Rattus norvegicus: one gene and its partner. The protein of the gene in region 1 interacts with the protein of each later gene in a biochemical or structural test. Links are inferred from orthologs where the notes say so. Each region holds a gene or a part of one and is shown in the gene's direction. Other genes may lie near its edges.

Region 1 (3,807 bases):
ATTCTCTGTGCCTGGGACGATACCTTTGACTCATCTTCGACTGACCTAATGGAGAGAGCTGGGGCTCTGGAGGCAGAGAGACCTGGGTTTGGATTTTGGCTTCACCCTTATTACTTGGACAAGTACTTTGGAAAAGCATTTAACATTCTGGAGCCTCCCTCGGTTTCCTAATCTGTAAAAACGGAGATAATGACACCTACCTTGCAGGGTTGTTGTAAGGGTTAACTGAAATTATGTGTATACTGCAATTAACGTATAGTCAATAAATGACACATCGCTGTTACTTCTTACTATCTTCATGTTCTTAAAATTCTAACTTCAAATGATAGCTTTCATGGATCCTTCACTCCCCCTTCCCTAGCCTACGGATCCCTTTTCCGAATGTACACATTTTGGCTCCTTTAACAGCCTGCCTTCTCAGTAGCTCTGTATTTAGCTTTTCCACCCACCTGGAAGGCTGGCAACCTACAGAAAGCAGAGTCTAGATCTTACTCATCTCAACGAGCTTCCTGGCCACTGAAAGTTTGGCCTCGGGCCTTCCCACCGTGGGCCGTGCAGAATGCATGGGGGAAAAGGCACATAATGGAAGGCAAGACACTGGGAGCTGGGCAGTGGGCCTGGTGCACTGGTGGGGAAACTGTGTGTGCATGTGCTACCTACAAAAAGATAGATCTTTGTAGGGGCTGTGAAACCAGACAAGATCCGTGTAGACTGCACAGGCAGTTTGTGGGAAGGAGTCAGTCCTGTGTATAAGCTGAGGGGCCTTGGCGAGAATGAGAATGCATGTGTGGATATGAACACAGACCCTGTGTTGAAGGAAGTCAGACCCAGCCCTTCAGCTGCCCGGTCCAGCCCAAAATGAGCCTCCAGCAGCCTGGGGCCGGATATGTCAGTCTCACCCACAAGCTCCTCCCCCCTCCCCTCCCCTCCCGGCGGTTGAGGACTCAGAGGCCAAATTTGGTAACAGACTGAGTGTTATTCCCCCAACCCTCTTACATTCTGACTCTGTCTTCAGCTTTCTCTCTCCCTTTGTCCCCTGTAACTCCCTATCTTTCTGTAGAACCCCTTGTAGGTACCTACACTAGTGATATTCTCCATGTACCCCAAAATTCCTTAGCCCTAGTATACTTGCATTCCATTCCTTGCTGGGATTTGACCTCCTGTCCTCCACACCCCCCTCCAATTGCCCAACGCGTCTGGAATGCATCTGAGGAATGTATTGAGGGGAGGAGTCTCTGGGAAGGGGGACATGAGGAGGGTGTTGTTGCTCTTGATAAAACATGATAGAGAGGGATCAGGGCTCTCAGATCCAGACAGGAAGCAGGTACTTTCTACTCCTAGTCCCAGGGTTCTTGTTCTTTGCCACTGCTGGTCCCAACTCAATGTCCAATTCCTTGACTTCCTTCACACTCAATTAGTTGTATAGATAGCTACTCAGCCTGGAGGAGGACAGGCATGACTCAACTCTCTTATCGGGACCTTACCAGAGGAAGAAGTGGGTATCCATATGTCCGGAGGAAATGGGGGCGGAGGGGCACACATGCACTTTCAGCTTAGGCTGAAGTCCTTCAGTCCTGCTCTGGTTCCTTGGACTCTGCTTCTCTGACCAGCCCTCACTCTCCACAGCCAGGTCTGTCCCACTGCTGGAAAGGTTCCCCTAGGAGCAAGGAGAGGGCAGAGAGGCTGAGGAGGTTGGGAGGTGCTTTCATTGGGGTAAAGATGGAGTGCAGGCTATGCTGCTTTTCTTTGTAATCCTGAACTGTGTATGTGGTCAGGAATGTCCTCCTAGTCAGTGACCCTGGTGTTTCCTACATCTGGATCTGGTTTCTCTTAAGGCTGTCAACTCTCCCACTCCACCTTTCCTAGTGTCTTTTTCCTCTGCCCCGCCCCTCCTAATGTACCTGATTCTGTATTGTGGTACCTGCCTGCTTCCTAGTCTTTCCCTTAGTCCTGCTTTCCCCCTTGGACTAGCCGTTTGTCAGGTGAGGAGTGGGGAGGCCACATTCCCTCCTTTTTTAGTTAAGAGGCACCTAGTCCCATTGCACACTGGGTCAAGCATCAGGGCAGACCTGTCATCTTGGGGCTGCGTGCCACCTGCTGCTCATGGTGCTGAAAGGTAGAGGGAATTTGGCCTTGCAAACACTGAGCTGCGCTGAAAGCATCACCTGGGTTCCTAGTTAAGATGGTGACAGTGTGATGGAGAAGAGTACAAGAGACTGCGGTAAGGCTTGAGTCTCAGTGTCTGGGCTGTTGGCCCTGAAACTTTCTCCTCTCCAAGAAGTATTGACTAGGTCATTTCCGAGGTCTCTGGACAGAGAGTCATAATTGTACCGTGATTCAGGTTGGAAGAAAGCAGGGATACAAGTAGGTCTCCCTGGCATGCTGCCACAGGAAGTTTGCAGGACTCAGGAGCCCCCGGGATGCTGCACTTTGCCAAGAAGAAGGCGAACCTGTAAGAGGGAAGGCCACATGAGGTCAGCGTCGCGCTCTGAAATCCCTGAAATCCCAGGGCAGGGAAAAGGAAAAAACTGACCCTGGAAAAGGAAAAGACAAGGCAGAGGCGGGTTGGGGAAAGACGTGAACAGAAACAAGAGGCCGAGGAAGGCACTTGGAACCAGAGAGGCACGAATTCCAGTGGTGCAGGCAGGACAGTGTCCTCAGCTGACACTGCATCTCAGGCCTGCTATTGTCTCTATAGAGACCGACCAGCTTCTCTCTGGGATGTCTTAAGTGGTCTTCACCTTTTGAAATTCATAGGACAAAAGAACTTACTATTGTTTTCTGTCATGGTGATTCCCTTAAAAGTCTCTCTGGGACTCTGAGTCACTCCACTGAGGGTGTGTTCTAATGCTCTGGTGCTGCTGGCCAGGTATCGCCAGGCCGAAGAGCAGAAGCTGCCACCATGGTTGCGCTTTCGCTGAGGATCAGCATTGGGAACGTGGTGAAGACGATGCAGTTTGAGCCGTCTACCATGGTGTACGATGCCTGCCGCATGATTCGTGAGCGGATCCCAGAGGCCCTGGCTGGCCCTCGTGAGTCTGACTACTGAGGTGGTGGGGGCAGGAATCCTTCATCCCTTACTCTCTTGGTCTTGAGCAGTGTCCCCATTGTGTTCTAAGTTCCTCACCCCTCAGACCTGTGCTCCAAGATCATGGGAGAGAGAGGTCTGGCTGTTTGGCCACAGTGAAGTTTTTGTAAGTCTAAGGTGATCTACCATCTCTTTTAGCCAGCGACTTTGGGCTATTTCTGTCAGATGATGACCCCAAAAAAGGTATCTGGCTCGAGGCTGGGAAAGCTCTGGACTACTACATGCTCCGAAATGGGGTGAGTAACTCCATCATCATTGGCCACCCACGTGCTCTCTACCTGCTGTCTCACTTGTTCCCAGCACCCATGTTGTGTCTGCTCCTCCTCTCTCTTCCTTCCTCAAACCAGCTCCTTCCCTGAACCCTGGGCTTTTCACATACCAGCTCCTTCCCTGAACCCTGGGCTTTTCACATACCAGCTCCTTCCCTGAACCCTGGGCTTTTCACATACCAGCTCCTTCCCTGAACCCTGGGCTTTTCACATACCAGCTCCTTCCCTGAACCCTGGGCTTTTCACATACCGGGCCAGCACATGTGGCTTTCTGACACAGGCAGTCAAAATGGCCTCCTTTTGGAGTAGTCTTCCACTTAGTAATTTACTTTCCTTTCCTTCTCCTTGGCTGGGGAAAGAGAACCAGTTTAAATAGGCCCTGACCACCTCTCCCTGCCCCAACAGGACACCATGGAGTACAGAAAAAAACAGAGACCCCTGAAGATCCGG
Region 2 (4,506 bases), on another chromosome or scaffold:
CTAGTACTGGGTCTGCGGCATGCTCTGCTGTGAGTCACTGGGTAGAGTAATAAAACGCTAGGTCATAGTTCCGTAGAAAACACACTTGTCTCCATGAATTTATACAGTTATAAAGTTCATACCTGTGACATGGAATGATATAGTGTCCTGGTGTGTGAGAGGTCCGAGGAAGAAGAGTCCACCTCTGCAGACGACAAGGCTGGACGAGGAGGAACATTAGACAAGATGGCACGGAACAGATGACATTTGAGATGTTTTGAAAAGTAAGTGGAATTTTCCAAACGGAAAGAGGAAGGAAGGCCAGTCAGATGGGAAGGCATGGAACATTTAGGAGTGACAAGAATCTCTTGGGGAAAGGCTAGGTGATGGATCATGGCTAGGTGTCAGGTCTCTCTTCTTCCCACACGCTTCCTCCATGGTCTCTTATAGCTCAGGCTGGTTTTGAACTCCCTGTGTACTCAAGAACTATCTGGAACTTCTGGTCCTCCTGCCTCCTCAGCGCTGGAATTCTGGGCATCACATTCTGTTTGATGTGGTGCTGGGGATGGAGTCCAACGCATGCTAGGCAAGTGCCTTCCGATTGCACCACATCACCATCCCTACTTCTATTTTTTTTTTTAAACAACACTACCATTCTTACGTCAGGACTCACAGGTCCAGCCACTTCCTGTGGCCACCTCTTCAGCTCCAGCACTTGGCACCTTTCACACTTCTAAAGGTTTCCTATCTGGTGGGGAAGACCCAAGGAACTAGTGTAGGGATAGGAACAACAGCCAAGCAGTCTCTGAGGAAAATACCACAGAGCTAGTGAATTAGAGTTTGGAGGCAATACAGTGACTGTTCTGAAGTAGTTATCAGACACCAGCAACATGCAAGCAAGCATTTATAGACAGAGGCTCTGCACGGATCCATCTTTCCTAACACGCTTGCAGGCTGCATGGAAAGCATTTGACAGCTGCCTGTGATCTCATTGAGTGACTGAGGGAAAGAACGAAAACTGGAGGAAAGCAAAGAGAAATAGCAGTGTTGATGTCTCTGCGGAGGTGGGACTAACAGAGTTCAGGAAGTGGCCCAAGGCTACTATTTTTTTTTTTTTTTAAATCAAGCATCCAGGTGCAGACACCTGGGACCCAGATGCACACAGGACGCCAGGAGCGCGATGTCCTCTAGCGAACGCAGGCGAATCCTAGTGGGCGGAGGGCTGGGGAAGATTTCTGGAGAGAGGCGCGATGAATTTCCCCATCACACTCGCAGCCTCAGGCAGGGTCCAGGCGGACGCCGGAGGGAGGGAACTTTAGCTCTCGGCCCGCCCCGCTGTGTCCCACCCACCGCGTCCCCTCCCCTCCCGGGGCAGGAAAAGCAGCCGCGGGCGCCAGCTCGCCGTGGCGCGCGCGCGCGGCGCGAAGGGCGGTGGACAGGATGCGAACGCGGCGGCCGGGACAGCTCTGGGCCACTCTGCTGGCGCTGGGGGCGCTGGCGGGCGTTGTCGTCGGAGGTGAGCGCGCGGCGGGTGTGGGAACTGCGGTGGGATCGTGGGAGCTGGGGCTGAGAAGCTGGTCCTTCCTCCGGTAGCCTCGAGGGCGCATCAACGGTGGCAGAGACCCTGGCCTGGCCCGGGGAGCAGGGGCAAGATGGGGCTCTGCTGGGTCGTCCGGGTGCGCCGGCAGAAGGATGCTGCTCACCTGCTTGGGTGGGTGTGTGCGCTCTGGGTTGCCCCTTCCACCTCCCCCGAGTTTGTTCCTCTGGCTGCTCCTCTGTTAAGGAGGTACAAGATTCGGGCTCCATTCGTTCTGGGACCGACCTCTCAACCAGCGCTCCCTGACTGTGTGCAGGGAGTCAGCACAGAGGTCCTCGGGGCTGGCTTTGTCTTTTCCTGCGTGTGACCCACACCATCAGCTGCCTGAATCTTCAACTTTCAGGCTCATTAATGCTGCGGGGAACGGGAGTGATGCAGTCCGCAGAGTCCTACGGGAGCTGGAGGTGATGTTGCCTGGGGTGGAGAAACTGAGGTTCCAGGTCAGCTGGAGCAAGTTAAACCCTGCAGATGGTGTGTGTGTGTGTGTGTGTGTGTGTGTGTGTGTGTGTGTGTGTGTGTGTACACGTGTGTAATACGGTCTCATATATTTCAGGATCCTTCACACTCTGTGTAGTCGAGGGTGACCCTGAACTTTAGACTCCCCTGTGCCCCTCCTATTGAGTGCTAGGATTATAGATCTGTAACACCTCTCAGGGCATATAATGCTGCAGGGAGTTGAACCCAGGGCCTCCTTATGCCAGGCAAGCACTCTGTTAATTGAGCTACATCTCCAGACTGACTATTTGTTAAAGGTAAACTTTATTACGTTGCCTTTGGGGTTAAGCAATCTAAAAAAAAAAACAAAACAAAAAAACAACAACAACAAAAAAAAACCATTTGGGTGGCTACCTTGAAGACCCCTTTCTGATGGTACGGATGGACGTAGACATGGGACAGGGGCAGGGGTTTCAGAACTGATGGTTGGCCTGTGTTGTTGAAGCTTCCAAGTGAAAGATGAAAACCGCGGTCTTTAGCCTACATTGAACAAGCTTCGTGATCACAGAACGGGAACCGGGATCTCCAGCATTCTGCCCTGGAGATATTAGAGTTTCTTTTTGTCAGCTCCTTGTAGCTGTTGATGGGGAATGGGGAAATCCACCAGGAAAGCTGATGTTTCTAACAGATAGGCAAACTTTTATGAACTTAAAGCCTTTAAAAAATTTTTACTTCTCAAGTTTTAATTGGCATGCAATGACAGGCTTTGCTTGTGTACAGCAGGAAAGTGTGTTTGCAGACAACAGATACACTGTACAAAAGGTAGCTAGTCTTTTTTGTGTTAGGCAACTTCCAGTTCTTCACGGCTATTTTGAGATTATATTTGAAACATTTTGTAGTTTGTTTGTATCTCTAACTTTCAAATTTCTGAGTGTCGTCGTTGTCATTGTCATCGTTGTCATTGTCATCGCCATCGTTGTCATCATCATCATTATCATCATCATCATCATCATCTGTAGTTCGAGAAGAAAGTTATAGCACAGTGCACGGTTCAGCTCCAGTGAAGATGAAGTGTATCTGTTATTTCGGTCTCTCACTCTCTTCCCACCTCTCCTGAACCCCTCATTGGTTTGCAGTGCTCCTTATAGGATCACACTACCCTGCTATTCCTAAGCTTGGGTTTAAAGATCCTTTAGTCCTAGGTTGGGAAAGTAGGAGAACTTGAATTCTGTCCCTAGAACCTATTAAAAAAGCCTGATGTAGTGGTGTGCTTGTAATTCCAGTGCCCGGGGAAGACAGAGACAGATGGATCCTTGGGGCTCACACGTTAGCTAGCCTGGCCTACTTGGAAAGCTCAGGATAGAAAGAGATCCTGTTTCAAATTAAGTGATACTTCTGAGGAATGACACTCAGGGTTGTCTTTTGTCTCTGCCCAGGGACAATTGTGCATGAGCATGTATGTACTTGTGCATGCATGTACACAATCGTATACACACCAAAACCAACAAACAACGAAACCTATAGGATATCAGAGTCGTTGTGATTGGAATAATCTAAAGAGGTGATGGCTTGTGGTAAGCTAGCCCCAGACTCCCTCTGAGAGGGTGTAGAGTCCTGCTGAGGAACCGAGGATTTTAGAGCACCCTGTAAAAGAAGTGTCTGTCATACAAGCCGTCTCAGTGTTGGTGGCAGAGTTGCAAACATCACTAGGTCCCTGGGGAAGCAGGTGATGTGGTGACTTTGGGGACACACAGTGTGGAAGGGACACAGAACAGGGTGGAAGTGAGGTGCCACAGGAGGGCTGTCCCAGTAGGAGATTCTGCCCCGAGGAGACTGACTTTCAGTTTCTATGTACAAAAGTAATCTTTTTAGCTTCATCTGAATACTTTGTTTCCAGGCTTCTTGGTAGTGTATTCTCACCTAATTAGGTCAGCAATAATGAGGTGCTTAGTTCCCTTCTCCAGTCTGTATTCTGGGAGCTGTCCAACTAAGGCCCTCAGGATACCTCAGAGACACGAGGAAAGGCTTTTTGCTGGGGAAAGGGGCAGCTGGGATTTAAGCAAGTGGGATGTAGGTTTGATCCTCGGCTTTGCCCCTGATTGACCGTGTGATCTCGTCAATCTTAGTCCAGTTTCCTCACCTGTAAAGTGGAAACAGTGCCTTTCGTTTGCAGACTAAATGAGACACAGGCTCAAATGAAGTAAATGTTCGATGCATGGCGGCTCCTGTGTTCCATGCATGGCGGCTCCTGTGTTCCATGCATGGCGGCTCCTGTGTTCCATTATGGACTGCCGGGCTGTTGCTGCTTTGTGTGTTAGTGTGTTGCAGGCTCCCAGATGAGAATCCAGCTCTCACAGCCTCTTAATTCAGCCCAGTCCTCTCTGGGAGCTTGGCATATTTCAGCCCTTTTGGTCCTGCAAGAACCTACAGAGAAGGCGCAGGAGGAGAGATGTCCACACATTCATTCTTTTTTTCTGAGTCTCAACTATGCATAG

What was found.
Region 2: the proteins of Tln1 (region 1) and Itgb3 form a complex in vitro, tested with the Homo sapiens proteins (6 studies listed by BioGRID and IntAct, with this or other methods). The link is inferred for Rattus norvegicus from reciprocal best matches to the Homo sapiens genes TLN1 and ITGB3.

The regions. Positions count from the first base shown.
Region 1 is NC_086023.1:62,606,909-62,610,715, reverse strand, and holds part of Tln1 (talin-1), read left to right. Parts: intron 1-1,518; exon of another isoform or gene 1,519-2,869; 5' UTR 2,870-2,902; coding exon 2,903-3,032; exon of another isoform or gene 3,033-3,226; coding exon 3,227-3,324; exon of another isoform or gene 3,325-3,762; coding exon 3,763-3,807. UniProt on the Homo sapiens protein: High molecular weight cytoskeletal protein concentrated at regions of cell-matrix and cell-cell contacts. Involved in connections of major cytoskeletal structures to the plasma membrane.
Region 2 is NC_086028.1:90,008,518-90,013,023, forward strand, and holds the start of Itgb3 (integrin beta-3 precursor), read left to right. Parts: upstream 1-1,409; 5' UTR 1,410-1,419; coding exon 1,420-1,495; intron 1,496-1,946; exon of another isoform or gene 1,947-1,980; intron 1,981-4,506. UniProt on the Homo sapiens protein: Integrin alpha-V/beta-3 (ITGAV:ITGB3) is a receptor for cytotactin, fibronectin, laminin, matrix metalloproteinase-2, osteopontin, osteomodulin, prothrombin, thrombospondin, vitronectin and von Willebrand factor.